4 linked regions of the Caenorhabditis elegans genome follow. The protein of the gene in region 2 interacts with the protein of the main gene of each other region in a pairwise test. Each region holds a gene or a part of one and is shown on either strand. Other genes may lie near its edges. The genes, in order: smut-1, mut-16, hcp-1 and mes-4.

Region 1 (4,256 bases), on a different chromosome or scaffold from region 2:
TTTCAGTTTGAAGTATGACAGCAATTTTAATTTTCGTCCATTTTTTGAGACCCGAAGAACTCGGGGGATGTCCAATTGGGGGGATTACCAACTCGGGGGATTGGCCCCGCCCACAGAACCGTGGCTTGCAATACGCCCATTTCTGCCGCACGGTTTTTCATAACTGCCGCACGGTTTTAAAATTATTTTTTCTTGTTATTTCTCGCTCTATTGAGAAAAATACAGTTTTAAAACCGTGCGGCAGTTGCAGAAATGGGCGTATTGCAAGCCACGGTTCTGTGGGCGGGGCCAATCCCCCGAGTTGGTAATCCCCCCAATTGGACATCCCCCGAGTTCTTCGGGTCTCAGACTTCTGAACTTTTCGCATGGTTAAGAACGTGCTGTCGTAACACTTTTTGTATATTTCTATTAAACATCGTTTTTTATGCTGGATAGCTGTTTTATTTCTAATAATAAAAATTGAAAATATCTAACTAGCATTCAATTTCAGATGATACAGCGAAGAATGACCCTGAAAATATTAGCTAGGAGACATATTACAACTTAAAACATACGAAATGTAAATTTGTTTCCGATTATCAACAAAATTGTACATTTTAACGATATTTTTATCAATAAAGACTAATTTTTACATATAAATGTTAATTTAAAGCAAATCCGTGACTTGACGTGATGGTGTTTGCACACTTTTCACCACAATATACGACATTCAAGTTATATGCATTTTTTTCAAATGATTCTATCCTTTCTTTTCAGTATTCTTTACGGTTTTATTGATCAATTTGTCACCAGTATAATCGATCATGTTTTATTTCTCAATAATTGTAAAACAATTTTTCAGATATCGGCCCAAAAATGCCCGTAGACTCGAAAAAATTGGTCAAAAAAGCTTGTCAGCACATAAAACCAGTTGAGAAATTCGAATGCGAGACACAAAGAAGTACTACAACTGATGGGTAGGATCTTTGAATGATTTTCAAATTAATCTTTATTATTTTCAGCGAAACTATCAAATTCGATTACATGTGGGCGACACATTTGAGTGATGAAGACTTCGAGTGGGTGTTCAGTTTATTCAAAGAGAACATGTACGATATGTATCACAAATCCCAGTGGGGATACGATGAAAATTCCAAGCGAAACGAACTTCGTGCAACAACATCAAGGTTCATCATCGCGAAGAATTCGAAAGGGGATAAAATTGGCTATACCACTTATCGATTTGTGGTCGATCACAACATTCCTGTGGCATATTGTTGGGAACTTCAAATTGTACCGGCTTATCAGAACAAAGGAATCGGTGGCATGATGCTCGACACGCTGGAAAAGCTCTCTTCAAAGTACAGTTTCAATTAATTCGAGAGCCAATAAACAAAAACTCTTATTTTCAGGACAAACATGAGTAAAGTCATGGCAACAGTTTTTCTGTATAATGGACCGTCGCTCGGCTTCTTTCACAAACATGGATACAACAGCGACGTGACGTGCCCATCCGATGATTCTGGTCTGGATTATGCGATCCTGTCGAAAGAGACACCGAGCACATAAGAATATTAAATTCTGATTCTATGATTTTCTAATTTGTTATCATCTTCATTCTGGCTTAATTGTTACATGTATTTTTTTTTGGGTAAACAAACGTTTTTTATATTTCTACTTTTATAATATTGTGTCGTAAAAACCGTTACTTTTCGTTCAAATATTTATTTTCAAACCAAAATATAAACATTTTTGTAATAATCTTTGTAGATGCCTCATCCTTGGAACACTGCCGATGCATTAGACGATAGTCGGGTACAAGTTGAGCACATTGATTTAGTTCCTCCAAAGTATGCAAATGTACTCAACTTCAGATCTATTAAAACTAGAGATTATTATTTTGGTAAACCATGTTCTGGGCAATTAAATATTTCAATAACTTTTCTTCAGCAATGAGAGATCGTCATCAGCAGTTGGGCGCAGTCACATCTTCAAAAGCTGAAACTGACAAATTGAATAAACACTGTGAGGAGAACACGATAATGGTGGATCAAGACGGAGTAGAAACTCCAGCTGATTATGGAACAGAGAGGATGGTTGCACATGCAATAGAAGATCACCGACTTGCCGCCAATTTGCAACGAATAAAAGTTCATATTCTGAATGCAGTTCAACAAAAATCAATTCAAGCTATTCGTGACCGCCGAGGACTTCTAGTGGATGCTCCAACTGGAATCGGGAAGACTTATGCGTTTCTTATTCCGGCGATTGAAATTGCATTGAGGGAGCGACCATTGCTTACCAATATTTCAACCACGCCATCACCAACTATTCTTATTCTTGCAAATACCAACTCACTCGTTGAACAACTTTTTAATCGTTGTGAAGTTCTTCTTGGTTTGATAGATATGGAAGATATTATACCTATTCGAGATATTAAAATTGAAAAACTAGTTGCTAGCTATCAGTTCACAAAAGGTTCGTTACAGCATTCGTCTAACCAAAAAAAAACGAATTCTTTATAGATCAATGCGATATTGCGTTCTGTACGATGGGAAAGCTGAAAGCATCGATCGAGGATAAAACAATTCTTCTTGACAATTTGAAAATGATGATTTTGGATGAATCTGATAAAATGATTGACATTGCATGCTTCGGAAATGACATTGATTGGGTTTTAGACCAACTACAAGAGGATGTGCTCAGAAATCTTCAATCTTGTTTCTTTTCTGCGTCTCACAACAGAAACGAAGATGGTTCAATTGCATTAACTTCACGTCAATCAAGAATGTTAGGTGAAAATCCATGGTCACTGATCCATTGTCCGAGATTGCCTGGATATATCACTCAACGAGTTATTCGAATTGGTGGACAGCGAGTAAATGATATCCATTCGAATCCTTGGATCGTTAAGATGAATATTATTTGTAAATTGTTAGATGATGATCTCAAGGAAATGGGAAGCACAAAAGAAGGCCCATGGAAGCATACTATTGCAATTTTCTGTGAAACTGTCTCAAGAGTTATTCAGGTTTTACCCCTATTCTTTCGATTTTAAAAATATTGAGAACATTTTCAGGTAACTATGGCACTTCGTCAGATGGGATATAATTTCAAACCTGTATGCAGTAGTGTGTTGAAACAACAACAAGCAATCACTTTGAATGATTTGGAGTTTTGCAACATTCATGGAGTTGTATGTACCAATATTATGTCGAGAGGAATCGATGTGTCTTCTGTGAAACAGGTAAGTTTACATATATATTAAATTGATAAAAACATGGCTACTATTGACCCAAATATTTTTTATCTTAAGTCACATATTTCAGACAATAATCATGGAAATGTCCACCGATTTTCCGAGCTACATGCATAGAATCGGACGAGTTGGTCGCGATGGATGTGGTGGAAGAGCTACTGTCCTCATCGATGAGCATCATTTATTTGGCGGACCAATGTCGAATATTATCGAGCAGCTGTGTTCTTTTATGCTCGAATGCGAGGAAACGCTTCCCAATTGGCTTGTAGAATGGCTGAAGTTGCGTCAATCACTTTAATTGAATCACATATCAATTTCCTATTTTGTGCCGGTTTTTATCGCTTTTCTATGTATCTGATCCTGTATTTTATATTCATTGAACTAATCGAACTCGTAAATAGGTTTTAAAATTTTTTTATTATAAAACAAGAAAGGCTATCCAGCATCAAAATGGATGCTCAATAAATTAATAAAACAATCAATTAACCCGAGAGAATAGGAGAGACTTGAATGCGGGGGAATTGTGATGGAGTGGGGGCGATTGTATGAAGCGAGTTGAAAAGCTGTGCACGATTTGCTTAGAGCTCATCGTGTCCTTCCTCCTCTTCCTTCTCCTCCTCATCATCATCCTTCTTGGCCTCCTTCTCCTCCTCGGCCTTCTTGCGAGCCTCCTCCTCAGCCTTGCGGGTTTCTTCGTCGGCCTTCTCCTTCTTTTCCTTCTCAACAGTCTTCAATTTGTCAAAAGTCTCGGCAGCATGGGCCTCGGCCTCCTCAACAGAGTCGGTGATGATAATGTTGTCAAAGATCGTTCCTGACTTGACCTGAAAAAATAAAGTTTGAGTTTCATTTTTGAAAAATAGAATAAAAGTTTCTTACCTGCCACAAATCGAATCCGATGGCTCCCCAGCTTTCATAAGAGTAGAGTTCATCATCAGGAGTGTACTCTGGGTTCTCAATCTCTGGATGGATCCACTTGCCCTTGTAGGCTGGGTTCTTGATCTGCTTTGGCTTCCACTCA
Region 2 (7,603 bases):
AAAAAGAAAAATTTTAGTTTCAAAACCGTCGTAGTGTGTATCCTTTTTTGGACAACATTTTTCTCCAAAATAGTTTCACCAAAATTTGCAAAATTTGTCATTTTGTGTTTTCTTGTATTTTTCCCCTACGTAGTTGCACTTTGTCATTCGTTTTAGTATAATTATGCTGTAAATACGAGCTATTTTCTCTTTTTGAATCTAATATTTCTGAAATTCCAAAGAAAAGGAAAACAGTAATTAGATTCAAAAAGTTGCCAATTCTGAAGCAATCACCCCCAAATACTGAAAACGTGCATCCCTCATCCTCCATCCAGTGCCTTCGTTCCAATTTTCAACCCGAGTTTTCCCTTCATCCCTTTCCCAGAGACACGTATCCCTGTTTTGAATTGTCACCGTCACCACCAATATTCGTGCAGTATTATTATTATCAGTTGACTCCCGGTTCTTCTACTTTTTATAAATATTAAAACACAAATTTGGACTCGTAAAAATATTAATTAGGAAAGTTTGGCGATTCAAGTATGAAAAAACAGGTAATAATCAGTAGGCAGTCAATAAGAACGAAAATTAAAAAAAAAAAACATGGGTTTAGAAAAAATGAAAAAATTGAGACGAGTGGGTGAATACAAATAAAAATGGAACAGTAATAGGAACAAGTAAATTCTTAGTTTCGGATATCATCTTTCAAAACGACATACGGCTCAATGTCACCTCTTTCCACTATAGCAACCGATGAAGAATCTCTAATATATTGGACAATATCAATGTACCGAGGAATAGCAGGACGTCTGCTCACTTCTGTTCTCAGTTCTTGTACCTGAAAATAATTCACTTTTAACGAAAACCTTTTCATTAAAAAAACTTAACATAAAATTGGTACAGTTACTCTAATCAAGAAGTCTTTTTGAAAGAAAAAACATGGCATTTTTCGAAGTAAAAAGCTTGTTTTAATTATACGAAAATATAGTGTAGAGATGATTTGAAAATACTCTTTATTTTTAAAGATTTTTTTCGTATGTGTCAATCAAATTTTCTCGTAATACTTTTTATATAATTACTAATATCACATCGTAGAACAAATTGAAACTTTCAACGAAAATTACTACTTACTGTCAATACTGTCAAGTTCATGCTTCGATAACGGAGAATTATATCTCTCAATTCCTTCTCAATTCCATCTTGAAATATTAATTCCCTGTTCGATGGCTGACGATTCGAAGAGAGAACACTAAAAGATCTTTGAGCTTCCGGTTGATGGTTTGATTGTCCTCCGTTTTTATTAAAGTACGGCGCAGAATTTCCGTTAAAATTGTCATATCCTTGTGGTTGTGACTGATGAGGCATATGACTTCCGTGATGGTCAAATTGATGTGGATTTTGACTGTATCCGACTGTCATTCGATCTCTTTCATAATCAGCAAGTTTGAAGTTTCCGTGTGGATCGTATTCTGGAGGATTTGGTGGAAACTGATCAGGTGATCTTCTTCTTTGTGATGAATGATCTTCATGATAAACTGATCTACTGCCATAATGATTGAATTGTGGATTACATCCATAATTTGGATCGGAAGAAGTCGGACCCTGATTCGGATTGTACGAATTTTGATATCCATTTTGATTGATATGAGGTTGATTGCTCATATGTGATGGTTGTTGGCCAACGTGATTATAAGCAGGTTGTGGCACTTGAGAATAATTAAATGGAGAAGGACCATGTTGAGGGTTGTTCTGAATTGAATTGTATGGTGGATACTGTGGTGCCGGTTGTTGATAGATTGGTTGCTGCTGATTAACTGGCGGATACTGTTGGCCGTGCATCGGTTGGTGGATTGGCCTGAAAAATGTTAGTTTTGTGAATTTTTCTGTTTTTTTTTCTCAATTTTAGCAAAAAAGGATATGTCTTTTGCTTGCATGAAAACCCCAAGACTACAATTATTACGCGAATTGTTTTACATTACTTTTAAAGATGGTCAAATAATATCAAATTTCTTGAAAATATTGTCAAATTTATGAATTTATTAACCGAAAAAGAGTTTTTTTATTTCGGAAATTTTTGCGAAATCTTATCAAAAAATTCGATTTGGGTCCATTTGAGCGTTCTTTATTTAACTTTTGGAATGAATTTTTAAGTATAATCCTTACTGTTGATGATGTATTGGTTGAGGCGCATATTGATGTGGTTGAGGTTGTTGTACAGGAAGCTGTGGCTGATATGTTGGCTGTTGAGGGATATATGGTGCACCCGGATGAGAGTTTTGATACTGAAAAGATAATGATTATGACTTCAAACTTGTAGGATTTGAGAAAAAAACGAACATGGTTAAAGAAATATGGTTCAAATACCCAACGCATCACTTCGAAAAGTTTCTGACTGTGTTGGACAATAAATTAATGGAAAAGATCTTCAGTCTTTTAAAAGAATGTCCCAATTCTTGTTCACGTGAACAATACTGTTTTCTTTCAGTTTTTCTGTTAATTTTTTCTGTCTTCCAGAGAACTCAATAAATTATAATTTCACATTTCTCTCAACTTTATCCGAACTGTGAAGCAAAACTATTTCGAAAACAGCAAAAATAGATCGAAAATGTAATCATGTGAACAATTTTTCGCAAATTTTCAAATATTTGTTGTAGATACACAGTCAAAGTTCTCAAGACTACGGTCATTAAAATTGGATCACTATGAAATTTCAGTGGTACAGAAATGCACGGAGGCATTAGATTTTTCTAACAATTTTTTCTAACGTAAGTGTGGATAGAATGTTTAGACTTAAAATATTATTAAAAATGAAATTACCACAGCTGTTTGCATTGGTTGATTGGCTGGTTGACTTTGGTTGACTGGTGGTGGTGCTGGATGTGATGGCAGTCTGCAATAATTTTTTTGGTAATTGAAAGATTAAATTTTAAAGCTAGGAACCTTCTGTTGATGAAACCATTGGCTGAAGGTCGTTCTTTCAAAAGCGGATTCCGTACAGGCTCTGAAACTGATTTTAGGCTATTAAGACGAGTCCTAAACTGCTTAAAATACCTTTTGGCGCAACTTTAATCGGTTTGTGCGTATCCGCTGGTGTGAAAGGAAGTTGAACATTGCGTCTATCCTCGTCGTGATTCGATTTAGAGTAGAAATTTCCGACTTCTCTGAGTGGAGCTGGATTCTCAGGTGGAACGACGACTTCAGGACGTGTCGAAACAGGGATTGACGGTGCTGCGGTCGTAGAAGACGATTCTACTACTGGAGTCGGGAGAGCTACATTCACAGTGTCAACTGGAGGTGTATTGGAAGTGTCAGTAGCAGATGATTCTGATTTTTTCTTGTACGTATTGAATCGAGTCTCAACTGAAATAGATTTTCATAAATTTAATAGTTCAAATTGGTGATTTTGGAAAATTTTTGTAAGGCGGAATATCGTTGGTGTTTGAAAGTTCAAAAATTTAAAATAGTCTCAAGTTCAGAAATACCACAATAGAAAAATGAAAAAAAACGAAGCATCATCCCCATTCACTAAACTCCGCTTTGGAAATGATAAAATTCGTACTTTTCGAAGGAGGTTGCTGCTTAGACTTCGTGTGCTTCTCACGACTTCTTAGTTCTCTTTCCTGTTTCTTTTTAAGTTTATCCTTTCTTCTTTGACGCTTAATCTCCTTTTGCTCGGGATCTTCATCAGAGTAGGATCCTTCAGAAGTGATTTCACTATCTGATGTCGTATCACCGACATCTTGAACACGCTCACCACGATCTCCATATGAAGGACCACGGTTACCATTGGTGATTGTGCTTCTGCTAAGAGCTGGTGCTCCACCAAATGGATTCGGAATCGCGGATCGTTGAGGGGCTCCGGACGAAGTGCCTTGGCCCATTAGTGGATCTGTTTCCATCACACGATTGACTGGAGAAGTGGGTGCACGTGGAGGACGAGATGTTGACCGATCAGTATTTCGATTAAAGTGCGATGAAGTTGTTGGTTGCTGAAAATCACATAAATTTCATTTCTATATTGCACACAAAGAATTTTGTGAATAATGAATGTTTTTTTTATCGCACTCACCAACGATCCATCATCATCTGCATTGTTAGAAATGCCCCCAGCAAAAGTCGATGGTTGATAATTCGGATCTGGTACAATTACATTTCTGCGTTGTTGTGGACCACGACGATCATCTAGAAAAGAAAGATTTTTAGATAATCACAAAAAATGCAATGTACCTGATCTCTGTCCACCGGCCCTATAATTGCCTTGGCTTCCGTAGTTCTGATTTCTCTGATTGCCGGTTTTCCATTTGTTCCTAACATCCGCAATATGTTCATCAGTGAAAAGAACAACTGGTCCTGAATGAACAAACGTTGAAAATAAATCGAAAATATTTTTAGTTACTCACGGTTTCCTTCATCGTCAGCTCTAAAATAGAGTTCTACAGTTTTGCCGTTGGCTTGTGAAACCACAATTTCAGAAAATCTTGCAGTTGTTAGAAACTTCTTCAGTGTTCCTCGATTTGTATACTCTTTGAACCAATCATTATTCCACAGTTTTTCTGGATCGAGTTGAAGAATATCCTTATATTTTCGAAAAATATTCGCATGTGCCGCACCAGTAACCATATTTGTATAAGCAGTTGAAAGAATTTGATATTTAACTGAACGAATGCTATATTCATTTCTGACAGCCATTAACAATTCCGCAATCATGTTGAATGTGAGTAGAGTACGAATTTCCTTCTCTTCGGATTCAAATGTATCTGCTTCCTTTTTCTTCCTTTCCTGGCGTTTGTGCCTGCAAATTTTATACGCCATTTCGAGGAAACACCACCGATCGAAGAGACTGTGTTTTTTTTGTGGTGATTTGGCAAGGAGAGCTCAGAAATATTTAACTTATATATTTTTTTTTTTTGTACTGAAATATTTTCTTAATTTCTCTCGTGAATCGGCACAATAGTCATTCGATTAAAAAAAATGGAATTTGAGCAATTTCGCTATTGATTTTGAAAAAATATGTTCAAAACAAGAATAAAATAATTCAAATTCGATTATTCCATGAACATAGGGAATTATATCGATTTACGAGAGCAATTATGACGGGGTTTCAGTGCAAAAAACAAATTAATTGCTGTTTTTAACAATAATTCACATAAAAATTTCCACAAAAAAAGCCTGTAATAGCGTCTCTCTGATCGCCGGTGCCTTATTTCGAGTCGTTCAGAGCTTTTCGTGACAAAAAAAACGCACTGTTCTTCGGATCCATTCATCAACGAAACAACAGTCTCACGTTCTGAATCGGAAATGACTGGAAAGAATGCGCCCTCTTTGGACTGCAGCCAACCTCCTCGTACAAGTGCATGGGCGTGTTCGGTCTGAAAACAATTAAGTTATAGTCTCCCTATGCACATTGTAATTTACCTTGGAATCGTTTGGAAGCTGAGAAATAATTTCTGGAGGAAGCAATAAAACAGCTGTTACTTGAAGACTGTATCCCATACAAGATTTCAAACAATCATCCAATTCATCCGAGGAGTATCCAGAACGGAATTTCAATGGATTGCTCAGCAATGAAGAGCTCAGGAACAGCTGAAGATCACGCTAAACCATTAGGTCACGAGATCATATAAGTATTTAAATACCTTCATGATTTCTGGATTACTTGCATCGCTGAAATCATAATCGGCGTTATCATTTCTTCCGATGACGTTTTGTATAAGATTGTCCGGTATCGTTTCTGGTGGAGGTTCATCCATATTGTCATTCTGAATCAGAAAATAAAATTGAAATATACGAACACGAATCTTACCGCATAGTAGGCATCCACGTCAAAGTCATCGTCTCCTGAATCCAAATAACTATCGTAGTCATGTTCACCCGATGAATTTCCATAGCTATTAGTGTCATCTTCAGTTCGATTTTGCATGGGAGTTTCTTCACGATCAGTTTCCGTATACGAGGCGGGTGGTGGACCAACAACGATCCCCAATGGATCGATATATTGATCGGAGATGTCTAATTCCGGATAATCATCATCACTTTCGGACATTTTCTGCAAATATCGAGTATTTGAGTGGGTTGAAACGTTTGAACGGCAATAAATGAGAAGTAAACGATAATTTGCTAGAGGCATTAAAGAAAACTTTCTATTCCAGGAAGTATTACGATTCTGGGACAAACAAGCGAAATTTGTAATAAGGTCTCTCAATAATATATATAATAGCTAAAACTTCAAGTCGTGCACTGTTGCGTTAATTCATTTCATTTTGAGCCGATAAGTCTGCAATAAACAATAATCATAGATTATAAAGATTTTTAACAGTTAATATTTTGTTTTGTTTTTGAATTCGGAAGCTTGTTCTTCAATTTCCAGTGCTTGAGATTTAAATGAAATTCGATCTGGAAGGCAATTTTGAAACAAACTGATTGGAAAACTGTTTAAATGGTTTTTTCAATTGAAATAATGATAAAAAATGTTAAGGAGCAATAAAACGCGTTCTAAATATTCGATCGGCAAGCAGATGATTGACGGTTATTCATTGAAACGTCGATAGAGCGCGATTGCATTGCGTTCAGGAAAAGTTGAATTTCTATCGAAAACAAGTATTAGAATTGAAGAAAACGTTTTGAAACTAAAAAATCATCTAAATCGGCATGTTTTTTAAACTAATGAACAGTCGCTTCATTAAAACATAACAGAAATTTGTTTGTATACGATAAACTGGCTTTTAAAATTGAAAAATATATATATAAAATCAAATTCACCGGCACATTTTCTCAAACCGATCGACAAAAAAGTACTTTAATTTTCCGAAAGAACTATTATGAAAGTGTATCGGTAAATAGTTTATTTTTAGGCCACAAAAGGATCAATTAACATGTTAATTAACACCTTCTGTTTCGAATTTTATCGCTTTTTAGTAATTTTTTGAATAGCTAAACAATAATTACTTTGAAAACGAAAAGAAATAACGAATATGGTGAAGTAAATCGCAGTTTTAAAAGTTGAAAAGGAGAAAATACATTTTTCAAATACAACTCAAACAAAGCGGCGCTTCTACTACGGTCACACTCATTTCACGTGTATGATTTCAAATTAAATCGTATGTAGTTTTAAAATTTGGTTAAGATTTCAGATTTAAATATTTGAAAGCTTTAATAAAAAATTATTGAAGACCATATATAATTTTTGAAGGCTATAAACCTTAATTTTTAACGAAAATATTAGAAAAAAGTTTCAAAGCATTAAAATTAATTTCGCGTCGGGACCAGACGCGCACTCACCACAATGTTCCTTAATCAAAATTAGTTTCTGTATCGGCGGGAAAATTGAAAATTCATTTTGAGCATCGCATAATCTCACTCACCATATACATTCAACGACTAATCGAGTGAATAAATCGATCGGAAAGGACATTTACAAGTTTATCTGAGCGAATTATGACCGAAAATCCTATGGAAAGTGCATTAAAAAAACTTTTTCCAGTGAAATATAAACAAAAATTAGCTGAAAAATACATATAAGAAACTAGTTGAAAAAAGGTTGGTACCATTGATCCTTGGCCCCAAGATACACCCCATTTTGTCTACTGGATCCTTTGTCACTTTGGACACTTTGTCTCCAAAGAAC
Region 3 (7,433 bases), on a different chromosome or scaffold from region 2:
AATTTATTGCAATTCATGTTTCAGAGTCACATGAAAGATGTGTCACCAGGTGAACGATTCACCTGTTCTCTAGGCGTGGACACGGCCATTCGTATCGAATATAAGCCAGCCAAAAAGTTCCATGAAGAAGGCGGTTACATCACAAAACATTCAACTCATGCCACCGAGCAGACGATTAGTGTAAAGAATACAAGAAGTGGACCGCCTGTACTGTTAACAATCAAGCATCATGTACCACGTAGCACAGATGAGAAGATACGTGTGAAACTGACATCTCCAGTTGGCATTACCTCTGATCAAACTGATCAAATTAATTCAGAAAACGCTGAACCAAATGTTGGAATTATTCTGAACAAAGATAACAACTTGGAGTGGACTATCAAATTAGACGCTATCAGTTCGAAGGATCTATTGATTAAATGGATTGTTGAACATGCGAAAGGAGAGAACATCGAACTTCGCGAAAATTTGCAATGATAATAATCCTGTGAAATTTCTGAGCTGTAATATATCACTTTTTCACTATAAATGACGTCACCTTTATTCAGGATCTTCTTTGATTGTATTTTAATGAGACTAAAAATCGTTGATAAATTTAAAAACCCGTTTATTCTGACCCTAAAAGCAAATAATATTTGACAAGTAAATATGGGTTCAGAACGGGTATTCATGGCACATATGTTAGTGGGGGACGGTGAGAGATCTAGTGGGGTGAGAGAATCTTATAGCCTATTGGTGTTGGCAGTTTGATCGATTCTTCTTCGATGGAGTTTCGCGAGCCGACTTCTCCAAAACGTGATCCTCCGGATGATGATTTGAAGCATCTATCTGCCGGGCAGTAGTATTCGACATGGTTTGAAGACGATCTTGGAAGGAGTTCTGCGCATCTTCGAAGGCATCCTCATGAGCAGAGTTTTGCGGTTCGACAAGTGAGCTTTCGCGGCTCAGTTGTTTCACACTGAAAATAAAACGCTCAACTTGTCAATTTTAATACATGTTCAACTCACCCAAGTCTTGCTTGCTCGATCAGTCCCATTACTCGTGGCGGCGTCTTTACACCCTTCAGCTGCTTGATCTCGGACTGAAGTGTCATGATCTTGTCCTTATACTCCCGCTCGTCATCATCAAATGCATCACAAACTTTCTCCAATCGCTGGATTTCGATTTCAGCCCTCACCAACTTTTCCTCAAGTTCCAGAATACGAGAATGTGCTTGTTCCAGTGCTTCCGACTGTTCTTTATTTTCAACTTGAATCAAAGTGATGTCGTGTTGAGCTTGTTCTTCGACTTCAATGACACGACGGTCAGATGCTTCCATCTTCTCATGCATTTCTCCAAGCTGTCGTTGCATTTGCGAAAGCGATTGAGTGAGAGTGCCGAGTTGCATTGCCTGCGACTTCCAGACATTTGCTTCTTCCAGGCGAGCCTCAAACTGCTGTGAGATTGTTTCGATCCGCGACTCCAGAGTAACAATCGTGTTCTCTTTCTGAGAGAGTGCTTCCTCTGCAGCCTCGAGTTTTTCGTTTGCATTGCTCAAAGACGAGTTCCACTCCAATCGGATCGATGCTTTCTGTAAAATTTATCAATAAATTTGGAATTAAAAAAATGTCCGTTAAACTAACCTCCACTTCGAAAGCTTGCACGAGGTTTAGCATCTGCTCCTGAACTTTTTCGAGTTCTTCGACTTTCTCCTGCTTTGCGTTTTCGGTGTCAGCTAGGGCCTTTTGTGCAAACTCAATTGATGCTTGAAGCTCTTTAATGCGTGAATTCAACTCCTCTGACTTGGCTTGAGATTCTTCGATTGTACTCTGTGATGTCCGAAGAGTATCAATTACGGATTGGAGGCGTTCTTGTTCTTCCTTGTGCTTTGCAGCTTGATCCGCGTTCTGAAAAAATACAATTTTATAAATATAAAAGAGAAATTTCGTCAAACCTCAACATCTCGGCTTTCAATCTTGGCCACTAGTTCCGCAAGATGTTCTTCTTGATCCATCATTGCCTTTGTAGACTTTTCTACTTCTCCACGAAGCTTATCAATAGTCTCAGCGGAAGTCCTCGTCAGTTCAATGAGCTCGGCGTTTGCAGATTCCAACTGAGAAGACATTTCGGATAACTGATCCATATTCAAGTTAGTATCAATTTCCATCTGCTCATTTTGACTTTTCAGCTCACAGATTTGCGATTCAAGTAGTGACACTTTGTCGGTGAAGTCTTGGATGGTTTTGCTTTTTTGAACGTTTTCAGCTGTACTACTCTCGATAGCAGTTTCTAACTCCTGAATTTTACCTTCCAACGAAGTTACGAGATCAGAAGATCTGCCTTTTTCTTGAACAGCAGCGTCAAGTTCAGCACGAAGAGCTTCATACGATTCACCTTGTTCTGATTTAAGAGCTTCCATAACGACTTGAACAGCATTGGTGTCCTGGCGAGCAGTTTCAAGCTCGCTTTGAAGATCAGAGACTTGCACGTTTAACTCTTGAACCCTGGCATCTGAAGTTCTCAAGTCTTCCTGAAGACGATCAGTGAGATCCGAAAACTGCTGAGCCAAGTCGAGTTGAGATTGAAGCTCCAAAACCTTACCGTTGGAATCCTTCAAATTGGCACGAAGATTGTTTAATTCCTCCAAAGGTTCCTTCAAATTCTCCAACAAAGATTCCAACTCTTTGACTTTATCTTCAGAAGCGACAGCATCAGCCCGAGTTGATTGCATTTCTTCTTGGAAGGCGGTCAATGAAGCTGTCATTTCAGAAATCTGTGCTTCAGACGAATCCAACTTCAACTGCATTTCCTTATTCGCTTCAGTGATGACAGAAAACTCCCGACTAGAAACTTCAATTTGCTGTTCGAGTTCAGACACTTGAATATTCAATTCTTGGACCCTGGCATCTGAAGTTCTCAAGTCCTCCTGAAGACGATCAGCGAGATCCGAAGATTGCTGAGCCAATTCGAGTTGAGATTGAAGATCCAAAATCTTATCGTTGGAATCCTTCAAATTGGCACGAAGATTGTTTAATTCCTCCAAAGGTTCCTTCAAATTCTCCAACAAAGATTCCACCTGTTTGACTTTATCTTCAGAAGCGACAGCATCAGCTTGAGTTGATTGCATTTCTTCTTGGAAGGCGGCCAAAGAAGCTATCATTTCAGACATCTGAGCTTCAGACGAATCCCATTTCAACTTCATTTCCTTACTTGCTTCAGTGATGACAGAAAACTCCCGACTAGAATCTTCAATTTGCTGTTCGAGTTCTTCATTCTTTGCTTTCGACATGGCAAGATCGGCTTGAAGTTCTTCAAAATTCCTCAGAGAAAGTTTCAACTCTTCGTTTTGCAAATTGGATGACTGAACCTCACGTTCAAGCTTTGAAAGCACCTCAATAGAAGACTGAAGTTCGTCAATCTTTACTCTTGACAGTTCAATATCCAATAAATACATTCGATGAGCCTCTTCCATCTTCAACTCCAGATTTTCCACCTTAGTGACGGCAACATCAGTTTCTTGTTGTGAAGATAAGAGTTGAGCAGCCACCATCTCCAATGAAGACGTTAGTTCCGCAATTTTTTCGTTTGAAGATGTCAGATGTACATTCAACGAATTGTTTTCATCAGACTGTCTCTTCACTTCTTCCAACTGCATCTTCATCTCAGAAGTCAATTCCTGGATTGTAGCTTGCGATGCCTCCAACTGTGCATTGGGCTCACTCGTGGATCCTGACTCAAGTTTTGCAGCTTCTAACTGGTTCTCCAAATCAGAAATCTCTTTAATCATGAGCGATCTGAACTCTTCGAGTTGTTGCTCGAGCTCCACAACACGAGAATTATTGGTGGCTTCAAATCGCAGCTTTTCGACCTGAAAAATAAAAATATATATATTGATTTGTGATTATTCAATTAAGCCAACCTCTGCTTCAAGGCCGTTCACTTTTTCCTCGGCATTCTTGATGTTTTCGGAAGCTTTTTCTTGTACCACCATTAACTCTGCTTGAAGTTTTTCTTTGTTCTCAGACGACAGTTGCACCTCCAATTCAAGTTGTTTGATCTTGTCGTGAAATTCTTGGATCTCCAAGTTTGCTTGTTGGGATTTGAGGGCGAGTACTTCTGCCTCCAGTTTCTCCATATCCTCAATCATCATCTTGCGAACAAGTTCGTGCTCATACTTCAGCGATTCACTTGTTGTTTGTGATTCGGTGCGAATCCTTTCCATCTTAAAAATAATTAATTAAATTTACTTCGGCAATAAATTCTATAAAAACCTCTTCACTGAATCTCGCTTCTTTCTCTACTAGATCGCGCTGAAGACTTTCGTTCATTTGTTTGGTATTCTCAAGCTGTTTGATTGCTTCTTGATGGCCTCCAATTAACTCCCGAATCCGATCTTCCGAAGCAGTCGCTCCTTGTTGCATCGAATCTACTTTCAAAGCCTTCTGGGTCAACTCCTCGATTTGAGCGTTCAGAGCAGCAAGATTGTGTACCAACTGATTCTTCTCTTCGTCAGGCTCTTCCAGCTTCAAGCGTAACTCCTGAACTTGTTTCTCGAGAACTTGTTCTCGTGCCTTAGCGGCTTCGCGGTCAGATTTTGCCTTTTTCATTGCAGAATCTACTTGCTGAGTCAGCATCTTTTCCTCAAAAATTCGAGCTTCTTGAATCTCACTGAGCTGTTGACTGTGACTTTGACGGAGAAGCTCGATCTGCGACTGAAGAAGTTTGATTGACTCCTCATGCTCGGAATTCTGCTCCAACATTTCAAACTCGTGTCTGAAATTATTTTGTTTTAAGCTATAAATACGACAATTTCTTACAGTGAGAAGTCAATGTGACCTTTGACAGGAAGCACTGGGGACTGGGGGACATCTCGGACTGGCTTTGTAGGCTGATCTACTCCTTTGGCGATTTCCGTGAGAAGCTGTGGATTAGATACTGTTGGAGTACATTCTCGGCTCAGAATCTGGCTCATTGGAGTACGAGAAGCAGTAGGCGTAGTCTCTCCGTCAAGTGCCAATTGATTATCGAAATCATTGGACAGTGTGGCATCGGCGTCCGTCTCGTCGCTTTCTTGAACCATGCTCAGGTTGCTCGTGCAATTTGAGGTGTCGTAGAGCTCAGATTGTTCTAAATTCACATCAACATTGCTGCCCGGAGTGATGGAAGCATCGTTGGTTCCCACGAAGGATGCATCATCAGTAGCCAAAGCTGTTACTGTAGACAAATCCAGTAGACTTGTGTTGTCGGCAGGGGTGATAGAAGAAGCAGAAGACGGGCGGGAATCATGCTCGAGGCAGGTCTCCTCCAGGTTGCTATCGGCCATATTGCCCGACGAAGTTCCAAAAATGCGTTTCGGTTCTCTTCCTAGTCGTGATTTAGGCGTAGCGGCGGAAAATGGCGACTCGGTTTGCTGGCGCTTCTGAAATAATTTATATTGTCATTGATTTAATTAAAATTTTGAGAAAATTCAACTTACATTTCCAGCTGAGCGCTTGTTCTCGTTGTCGAATATCGGCGATTCGTCCATTGTGAAAGAAACGTCGATTTATCTATAAATTAGCAATAATGATTATGGAAATTACACAAGGGATATTAAAAATCAAAAAGGGCGCGTGATTTGAAAAAAGGAGGAAAAAAGTACTAAACAGGAAATTAAGGGGAAAATAAGTTTTTAGAAATATATCTATTAAATACTGCGTGTGAAACTTTTTGACGTTATGTGGCAACAAATAAAGTAACAAAACAGTATTTTCCAAATGTCAGATAACTGAAAATGAACGTTCATGAATAATGAATGAATGAACGAAATGAAAAGTGCCGGATTCCCGCGCGTGGTGATTCAAAATTGAAACCTTCCCGCCATGTGCGGTGGAGCACGGTTGCTCTTACCGACCATAAGGTCAAAATATAATAGGTCTACAAGTGAAAATCGGTATATTTTATTTATTTTGCAGTTTGTGGCCTTGTAAAAATGGGGTTGATTGGAACAAAAAAATTAAAAACCATCGTTTGCGTTTTATGTAGTTTTCACAAATTTTTATTCCAAAAATATATCTTGTCTTACAATTCAAGTAAATATACATACACAAAATCTGAATTTAAAGTTTAAAATTGCTGGTTACTGAAACAATAAACCCATCATCCGGATATAAGACAAAACTTGCTGAAATGCAACATTTTCTTCGAACATTCTCAGGCTTTTCAGAATTTCGTTTTTATCTCCACGAAGTCGTGAATCGTATGACCATGTCGAATTTTGAGGACTACATTTTTGAAGATCTATAGGCCCACTCAAAGGATTATACCAAAAATCTCGTCCCATTTGGCTAGGCCTGTAATACTTGAATAATTTTTAAAAAATTCAGGTAATTTGCCAACTCAAGCTTCACATTCGGCGTTTCTCTCAATTGATTCGTTTTCCAACCATGGAACATGAAATCTAACTCTGGATGCCACATCATTGATGTCAGCCAGCCGTCTTTAGCCCATCCTGTTCCCTGTACAGTTAATATTGTAGATGTTGTGGTATTAATTTTAAACCTACTTTTTTCATAATTCTAACTTTTCCAAAATCAGTGGATACGCCAAATATTGCTCGGATACATGACTCGTAGGTGAAGAGATCATCAAAATTTTTAGAATTGTTATAAGCTTTTTTGCATACTTTCGTATTTGCAGAAGCCTGTGGGAACAACTTTTCGGCAAGGAAAATCTAAACAATAAAATAAAAATTGAAATAGGAAGTTACCAAGTTACATGAAGTGCTCCATTATCCGTTCCATGAAAACTATTTGGTAACTTGTACTCATAATCAGCAAACTCTGCAATTTTATTAAATTCATCACAAAAATTTCGAATAAAAAACTAACCGTTTAATAAATCAATAGCATATTGAGTATTTCTTGCAATATAAGATCCAGCCATGATCTCCCAATTATAGAATCTATCATAGAATGTAACATCAATTCCATCATCCAAAAACTCTTCAATTTTTCGCTTTGGATTCACAACACCAATATCAGCGTCTAAGAATAGGATCGCATCAAATAATGGGAGAATCTTTGCGGAAACACAGTGGCGGCGGAAAAATTTCTGAAATGTTAGCTTTTTTTAAATTAAAAAAAATTAGAACTTACATCTTTATGAGCACATTTGAAATCAGTATCAACTGCGAGAACAAATTCATAATTATGGATTTTGCAGTAGCAACGAACCGTTTCTGAAAAATAACAATAGAACGTCATAATAAAACATTCCAAAATGTTTTTTAAAGTTTTTAAAATTTCCAGTCAAAGTTTTGGAAAATTGGCAAATTTTCGAAAAATATGGGCTTTAAAGAAATCCAGGGCAATGTGGCATGTTCCAAGAATGTTTTAACATAAATAATTAAAAAAAAATTAAAATATTAAAAATCCTTTTAAAAAAACCAGTTTTTTTACTTTTTTTAAATATTT
Region 4 (6,837 bases), on a different chromosome or scaffold from region 2:
TTTGGATGAACAAATCCAAAGCACACTCGAAAAAGTCGGTAACAGCAAAATTGATAATCAAAGTTGCATACGAACGAATTGTCTTCGGTGATTTATAGATAGCCATGTAAATGAGCATTAAATTGAATGAGCATCCAAGTAAAGCCCATATACAGTGCCATATTTCAAAGAACGCGTGCATTATTGAATTGGCAAATGGTGCAAGACTGAAATTTTTAGAATTTTGTCGTATAACAAGCGAACATAAAATAATTAATGAATGAATTATCGCTTCCGCTCAAATGGTTTCAGTCTTCTTTCAAGAAGTCTATCCGAAGATCCTTTGTTATTGTGCATAGGGAAATTAAATGACACGTGGTTTCTCAATAATGTGCATTTTTTTACTTCCGAATCAAAATCTTTAGCAGTGATTCATCGACTCCAATGTCTTTTTTCAAAACAAGTCGTTCCATTGTGTTCTTCTTAATCTTCTCCAGTTTCTCTTTATCGTCATAAAGCAGCGCTTAACTCTGTTTTGTAATTTGCAAAGGTATTTATTACAGATGAGAAAAAAAAGTCGTATTTATCGATATGATGGGACGCAGTAACAAGAACGAAAGAACACATAGGGAAAAAAAAATGACAAGTGAATGAAAGCAATGGTTAAAGCAATAATAAAACCCCTAGTTTAGTGTGAAAATAATTTTCAAAAAAGATGAATAGGAAAGTCTTCGTTATTCTTTGAACGTTGGTCAAATGAATTTCAGCGTTTCCAAAAATTGTGTCGACAGTCCAGGAAAAACTCATAGTACGATTAAAAAGAATGAGGGCACTGTTGATTGAAACTAATTGAAGTAAAATCATAATTTAGTACTTGGAAGACTATTGGAAAGAGTTCAATTGGGCGAGACAGCATATTATTTCACTTTTCAAATCGGTTCAAACCGTTTTGTCTCTTTTTGAACTCGTCCACGAGTAGATATTGCTCTAACTTTGACCTCCACAGTATGAGGTGATGGAACTGATTGTGTCGACAACGCTCGTGCTTTTGTGATAGCCGACTTGGTTGCAGGAAACTCTATCGCTTTTCCGGTTTCTTGAATTGTTTGCAATGATGGCGTAGCTCGTTTCACAGGTGGCGCTTCACTTTCCACATCATCTCGACGGCTCTGTGAATATAATCGAATATAATCGATATTAATACTAATATGATTATCGTACCTTTGATTTTTGTGCCCGTGGTGTTGAAGATGAAGCTGCGCGCGATCGCGATGAAACAGGGCTCAAGAGTTCTTGCGGTTTTTCGTGGAAATTCAACTCTGTAGATGTACTCAATGTTGATCCGGTGTCGGCTACAGGTTGATTGGAATTCTTCTGAAAAACAAATTATGTTTAATGGCTATGTACCTGAATTGAAAATTCGATTTAGACCAAGTTAACTCTAGCAACCAAGGGTGCCATCAAAAATCGAATAATTAAAATTTTCTATTTCCGAAAAAACTCGAAAAAAATGTTTTAAAAATTAACCATAAAGTTCTTTTTTTTTAAAATCAAATTATGTTTATGTTGATGAATAAAATAAGAAAACATTTTTTTAAATTTCTCTCTAAAAAGAAGAACAATTACAAAATTTTTGAAAGATATTTTTCGTGAAAACGAACATTTTCGATTTTAGTGAAAAATCGAAAAACCGACATCATTGCTGGCAGCAATTGATCGATTTAATCTCCAAAAAATACCTTTAAATTTTTCTTATTCTGGGAAATTGGCCATGATGCTTGTTGGACGAAGGAAGTGCTCGACGCGGAGCTTGTGGATGGTTTCGAAGGAGAAATTTCTGATTTCTTAGATGCGGTTCCGTTCTTTCCGGCCTGAAAATAAGAAATAAAATCAAAATGTTGAAACTTAGAAAAAAAGTTGGTACCTCCTGGCTCTTTCTATTCTGATTTTTTACAGATTTCTTCTTGGACGATTTGTTCTTTTTAGCAGCTTTCTCGGAACTATCAGCCACTTCCGGTTTCTCGCGTTTCGCTTTTCCCATTGTACCCATACAGTTTTCAGCTCCACATTCACAGTCTGGTAAGTTCTCCTCATTGTTCATATTGTAACTGAACGTGATCTCGTCGCCGTCGTCAATAGTGCGAATTGCCCGAATATAACTGCGAGTATCATATAAACTGCCTTCTTTGGTTTTCTTAACGAACACTTTTGTAACGAAAGATGCAGCGTTGGGATCGCAAGAATGATTGATGTATCTGGAGATGTTACCGTATCTGGCAGCGTCCACGGTTAATCCTTTGTGCAATTCCATCATATAATGGTTCGCCTTGAAAAAAAAGAGTATTTGGAAAGTTATACGTTGATAACTTAACTCTGATATTTTGCTTCTTAGACCTAAATAGCCCAAATCTACCAAATTTCGTATTTTTTTCTGAAAATGACAATTGGCAAAATATAAAATTTTAGCTGGAAATAGGCATTTTCCCAAAACTTTGAATCGCCGTAACTTTTTTTTGAGAAAATTTCAGAACGTTTTGTTCTAAAATTCGGTTAAAAGAAAAAGTAAAAATTCGTGTTTTTATCGCAAAAAAACTTTTTCCTTACCTGGAAATCTCGCGAAATTGAAACCGAATCCAAGCGCCTCTTCTTTTCAGCTTTATCGATTATTTCTCCAACGTACTCGCATATGTATTCGTCTTTTTCGATTTGACCTTTCGCAAAGACACCGTATCCTTTACACAAAGTGGCTGCCAGTTTGATTTTCTCGCTAACTATTCCCATGGAAACTTGACGATTATGACAAACGCCCTTTTTCGAACAACTCGGGGGACATTCATAATCATCGGCGAGATATTGACACGACAGCTTTGTACAGCGGTCAGCTCCTTCACAATTGCAAACTTCGTTGTTGTGATACTCTTCCAGTTTTGGTTCGCATTTGTAGTACACAGATGTCTGGAATTATGAAGAAATTGCTATAAATAAATCTGAATCGGTTAAAAGTAAGAAAATAATTGTTAAGTTTTTCGGCAATTTTTAGCTGAATTTTTCTGCAGCACTGTTTGCACTTTTGTCCCAAAATGGTCTAAAACTACCAAATTTCGTAATGAGACATTCTCATTTTCCTCCAAAAAGAAGTTAGACGGTTCAAAATTTTGGAAAAAAATGACATTTTTTCAGCTAAAATCTCAAATATTGCAGATCTGACAAATTTCAGAACTTTTTTGTTTTTTTAATTTTTTAAAAGTAATGTTCCGTTGGTTGAGATATTAACTTTCGTCGGTTCCGCAATTTTAGCTGAATAAAAGCCTTTTTCCAAACCGTTGAAAAATACAAAACCATAGTCCGAATTAGATATTTCCTGAAGAATCAGTAGAATACTCACTCTCAGTCTTCCAAATACAGTTTTACACACGTACGGGCATCTCTTCAACGCAGTATCTGCTTGTTCCTCATATTTCTCTTCCCACAAGTTTCTAAGCGTCGAATTCTTTGCCAACGAAAAGTAATTCTTGGTAAGACGGGCGATATCCGAGACCGGCACAATTGACATGAGAGGTTGTTTCTCTTTATCATTTTCTTGGGGTATCAGCCACTGGACAACAGTATATCCAAGACGTTCAAAGTTGATATTACCACGATTTCCAGTAGGGTACTTGTACCAATCGAGTGTTAATGCTAGCCAGAATCTGAATAGAAAATACATGAATTTGATAATTCTGATATTATAAACGCACGAATTGTCCGTCCACTTCGCGAGAATCAATGTATTTTGCGGAATCGGATCTCCACAAACACACGATTCGCATTGATCGTCTGGTATCGGTTTTCCATTCAGCGTTTCCACTTCTCGACATCCAGAATGAAACGATCGGCAACAAGTCTTGCACATGATTGTTTTTGAATTCGAAGATTTCTCACATCCAATTACGCAACACGCTTTGATATGGGATTTCATTGTAACATCCGCTTTCGGAACAACAGTGACGGCGTTTTTTCTTTTTTTATGTTTATTGTAGAATTGAACATCAGCACCAGGTAGATAGTGTGCTGGACAAATTATCATTTCGAACTTCTCCACTTTCCCACCAATTGTTATCGAAACATTCAAATCTCGGCCACCTGATGGATAACACGACGTCAAATGGAAAGCGCGGAGACAGAGAGCACATTCTGCAATATCTCCAACATAAGCCGATTGCTTGTGATGGTCCAAATTGCAACTATTGCAGCAATGAAGAGGGCACAGAAGTCTTGCTTGGCATTCGAGTCGGGCTGCATATTGAAAGTGAAAGCCGCCACTGTTGTAATTCTAAAAGTTTACACGATATTTGATGAAGAAAAATAATCGAATAGCTTACGATCATACAACTCGCGTGAAATTTACTACGACAAGGAAACATTGGTATATTTCCCAAGAGACGCTTGCCGTCGTCCATTTCTCCATTGATGTATCCATGACATGTGATCAAATCAGATTTTCCGGTTTTATCCTTCTCTTCGTGGCAAATCACGCATTTTGAGTCAGCATCTGGAAGAAACTCTCCTTCCGCGTCGGCTTCAATCGGGGTGAATGGCGAAACACTCAGAAACTTTCGTGGCACGTGGGTGAAGGTAGCTGGAAAATTGAAAATTTAATGGACTGCCTGGAATTAATTAATGAAAATACTTTTTGGATAATCTGTGTCAACGAACTCCTCATATTCACTAAGAAATGCCTTCGTTTCCTGTATTTGCATCGAAATAATGTCTTTGGGAGCATTCGTTAGAATCGGTGCTTCTTCTTGCTTGTCTTCTGCATTGGATGAGGTTTCGGAACCCGCGCCTTGTGGAGTAGCATTCCGTTGTTTAACGTTCTTCTTTTTAAAAGGTTTATTTGGTCCTTCTTTCTCAACGATACCGTCCTGTGGAGCACAGTTCTCTTTGCTGGAGTCACCTGGAATTCGATGCATTTTTCGACCTGATTTTCGATTATTTAAACTCACCAGAGCTCGGCAGCATAATTTGGCACCAAGCGCGAGAAGTAAGCAACTCTGAAAATGAAATTAGAATATGAATCGACTTTTTGACAAGTATTAATAAAAGAAAAACAGAAAATGAGACGTTATTCAAGCTGATCGAGGACACATTCGAAAGTCGCGCCTTACAACGATACTCCAAAATGACGGAAGCGCGAATTGTTTAGTTTTTGAGAAATATATGCATTTTTAAAGGAAAACAGCGGAAAACTATCAAAACGGTGATTAATGGAGATTCTTAAGAAAAAAATTTATAATTGTGCGTCCATAGGCTGCGGAAAACGGGAATTTCCCGCGGTCCGAGGCGTCTACAGTGAGAGGGGAAAACGAGGGAGTTTTTCGCTTCGCAATTGGTCAGTTTCAAAAAATTGGGCGTTTCCAACGAATCAGAGGCTGCAAAATTTCAAGCTGAGCAATGAAAAAGCGAAAAACTGCAGGCCCCACCTACTTTTGAATTTTGATAGAAAAAAGGCGAAGAAACTGCACTATGGACGCCTCAGACCGCGAGAAATTTGAATTTCCGTTTTCCGCAAACTATGAACATTCCTTTTAAAAAATATGCCAAGAAGGTTCGAAATCACGGGAAATGCAAAGAAAATCGCTTGCAAAATCCCAAAAAATTGCTGCAAATTTGATTATGTAAATAAGGAGACCCGAAGAACTCGGGGGATGTCCAATTGGGGGGATTACCAACTCGGGGGATTGGCCCCGCCCACAGAACCGTGGCATGCAATACGCCCATTTCTGCAACTGCCGCACGGTTTTAAAACTGTATTTTTCTCAATAGAACGAGAAATAACAAGAAAAAATAATTTTAAAACCGTGCGGCAGTTGCAGAAATGGGCGTATTGCAAGCCACGGTTCTGTGGGCGGGGCCAATCCCCCGAGTTGGTAATCCCCCCAATTGGACATCCCCCGAGTTCTTCGGGTCTCCTATATTCACATCATTCTCGCCATACCTGTGCGGCATTCGGCATTCGGCATATGCCGATGCCGGCATAATGCCGGTTTTTGGAGCACGGCATATGCCGTTATGCCGATTTGAAAATTCACGGCATATGCCGAAAATGCCGTTATGCCGAAAAATAAAATGACCGGCATAACGGCATAATGCCGACATTATGACGGCATTATGTCGTTTTTTTCTGCATTTTTGGCTTTGTTGTTTTTTGTCAAAAACCATATTTTCATAATTTTCGTGTATCCGACGAAACATAAAGATCATGCAAATAGTAAAGTTTCTACGCAGATTGTTCCATTTTTGAGATTTCTTGAAGCTTTTTGCTCGAGCATTTGGAAAATTTCTGCAACAATTTTGGCTTGACTCGAAAATTGTCTGAAAATGCACCAATATGTTTCAAGGCGTGTACATTAAAGGGGGAGTACAGTTTGTGGGTATTTTGCTTAAATAGACTAAAACTGGTCCAAAACCACCGAATTTCATAATGAGACTTCACAAAAAATTTCCAAACATTTTTATGGCCGGTCAAATTTTCGAAAAAAAAAGAGCCAAACTTTGCTAAAATCTAAAATTTCGCACACTTTTCTTTGTCACAGCTGCTGAATTTCTGTTTTTCTGAAATTATCACCCTTTAATCCTTATTTTAGTAATTTATCTCGCGGAAATTCGTTGATTAAGACAACTTTTGGGCCGATAGGCATCCAAAAATGATCAAAATTGGATGCCTAGCGGCCCAGAAGTTGTCTCCATCAACGAATTTCCGGCGAGATAAATTACCAAAACAAGGATTAAATGGTGATAATTTCAGAAAAACAAAAATCCAGCAGCTGTGACAAAGAAAAGTGTGCGAAATTTTAGATTTTAGCAAAATTTGGCTCT

The links.
Region 1: the proteins of mut-16 (region 2) and smut-1 interact in a two-hybrid assay, tested with the Caenorhabditis elegans proteins (one study listed by BioGRID).
Region 3: the proteins of mut-16 (region 2) and hcp-1 interact in a two-hybrid assay, tested with the Caenorhabditis elegans proteins (one study listed by BioGRID).
Region 4: the proteins of mut-16 (region 2) and mes-4 interact in a two-hybrid assay, tested with the Caenorhabditis elegans proteins (one study listed by BioGRID).

What each region holds. Positions count from the first base shown.
Region 1 is NC_003283.11:6,095,356-6,099,611, forward strand, and holds smut-1 (Synthetic MUTator), read left to right. Parts: upstream 1-1,749; coding exon 1,750-1,882; intron 1,883-1,929; coding exon 1,930-2,457; intron 2,458-2,504; coding exon 2,505-3,010; intron 3,011-3,058; coding exon 3,059-3,226; intron 3,227-3,308; coding exon 3,309-3,536; 3' UTR 3,537-3,728; downstream 3,729-4,256. Other genes in the region: Y38A10A.7 (N-alpha-acetyltransferase 40), read left to right, coding at 856-956, 1,002-1,340, 1,392-1,548; crt-1 (Calreticulin), read right to left, coding at 3,817-4,059, 4,115-4,256.
Region 2 is NC_003279.8:10,078,581-10,086,183, reverse strand, and holds mut-16 (MUTator), read right to left. Parts: upstream 6,026-7,603; 5' UTR 6,023-6,025; coding exon 5,783-6,022; intron 5,739-5,782; coding exon 5,616-5,738; intron 5,575-5,615; coding exon 5,395-5,574; intron 5,349-5,394; coding exon 5,224-5,348; intron 4,772-5,223; coding exon 4,380-4,771; intron 4,330-4,379; coding exon 4,207-4,329; intron 4,162-4,206; coding exon 4,049-4,161; intron 3,969-4,048; coding exon 3,539-3,968; intron 3,340-3,538; coding exon 3,031-3,339; intron 2,981-3,030; coding exon 2,920-2,980; intron 2,870-2,919; coding exon 2,797-2,869; intron 2,262-2,796; coding exon 2,143-2,261; intron 1,835-2,142; coding exon 1,111-1,834; intron 818-1,110; coding exon 665-817; 3' UTR 476-664; downstream 1-475.
Region 3 is NC_003283.11:6,592,299-6,599,731, reverse strand, and holds hcp-1 (HoloCentric chromosome binding Protein), read right to left. Parts: upstream 5,539-7,433; 5' UTR 5,507-5,538; coding exon 5,456-5,506; intron 5,399-5,455; coding exon 4,797-5,398; intron 4,753-4,796; coding exon 4,251-4,752; intron 4,202-4,250; coding exon 3,899-4,201; intron 3,848-3,898; coding exon 1,934-3,847; intron 1,887-1,933; coding exon 1,623-1,886; intron 1,571-1,622; coding exon 1,008-1,570; intron 959-1,007; coding exon 730-958; 3' UTR 524-729; downstream 1-523. Other genes in the region: ZK1055.6 (Protein F37C4.5), read left to right, coding at 25-477; ZK1055.2 (Nucleotide-diphospho-sugar transferase domain-containing protein), read right to left, coding at 6,098-6,311, 6,358-6,476, 6,524-6,691, 6,736-6,800, 6,849-7,071, 7,116-7,198.
Region 4 is NC_003283.11:13,432,534-13,439,370, forward strand, and holds mes-4 (Histone-lysine N-methyltransferase mes-4), read right to left. Parts: upstream 5,013-6,837; 5' UTR 4,981-5,012; coding exon 4,965-4,980; intron 4,916-4,964; coding exon 4,649-4,915; intron 4,598-4,648; coding exon 4,341-4,597; intron 4,292-4,340; coding exon 3,717-4,291; intron 3,669-3,716; coding exon 3,365-3,668; intron 2,935-3,364; coding exon 2,584-2,934; intron 2,306-2,583; coding exon 1,904-2,305; intron 1,851-1,903; coding exon 1,719-1,850; intron 1,354-1,718; coding exon 1,201-1,353; intron 1,149-1,200; coding exon 909-1,148; 3' UTR 517-908; downstream 1-516. Other genes in the region: srd-17 (Serpentine Receptor, class D (Delta)), read right to left, coding at 1-181. UniProt on the Caenorhabditis elegans protein: Histone methyltransferase. Dimethylates 'Lys-36' of histone H3, a specific tag for epigenetic transcriptional activation. Plays a central role in early development and is responsible for all H3 'Lys-36' dimethylation until about the 40-cell stage.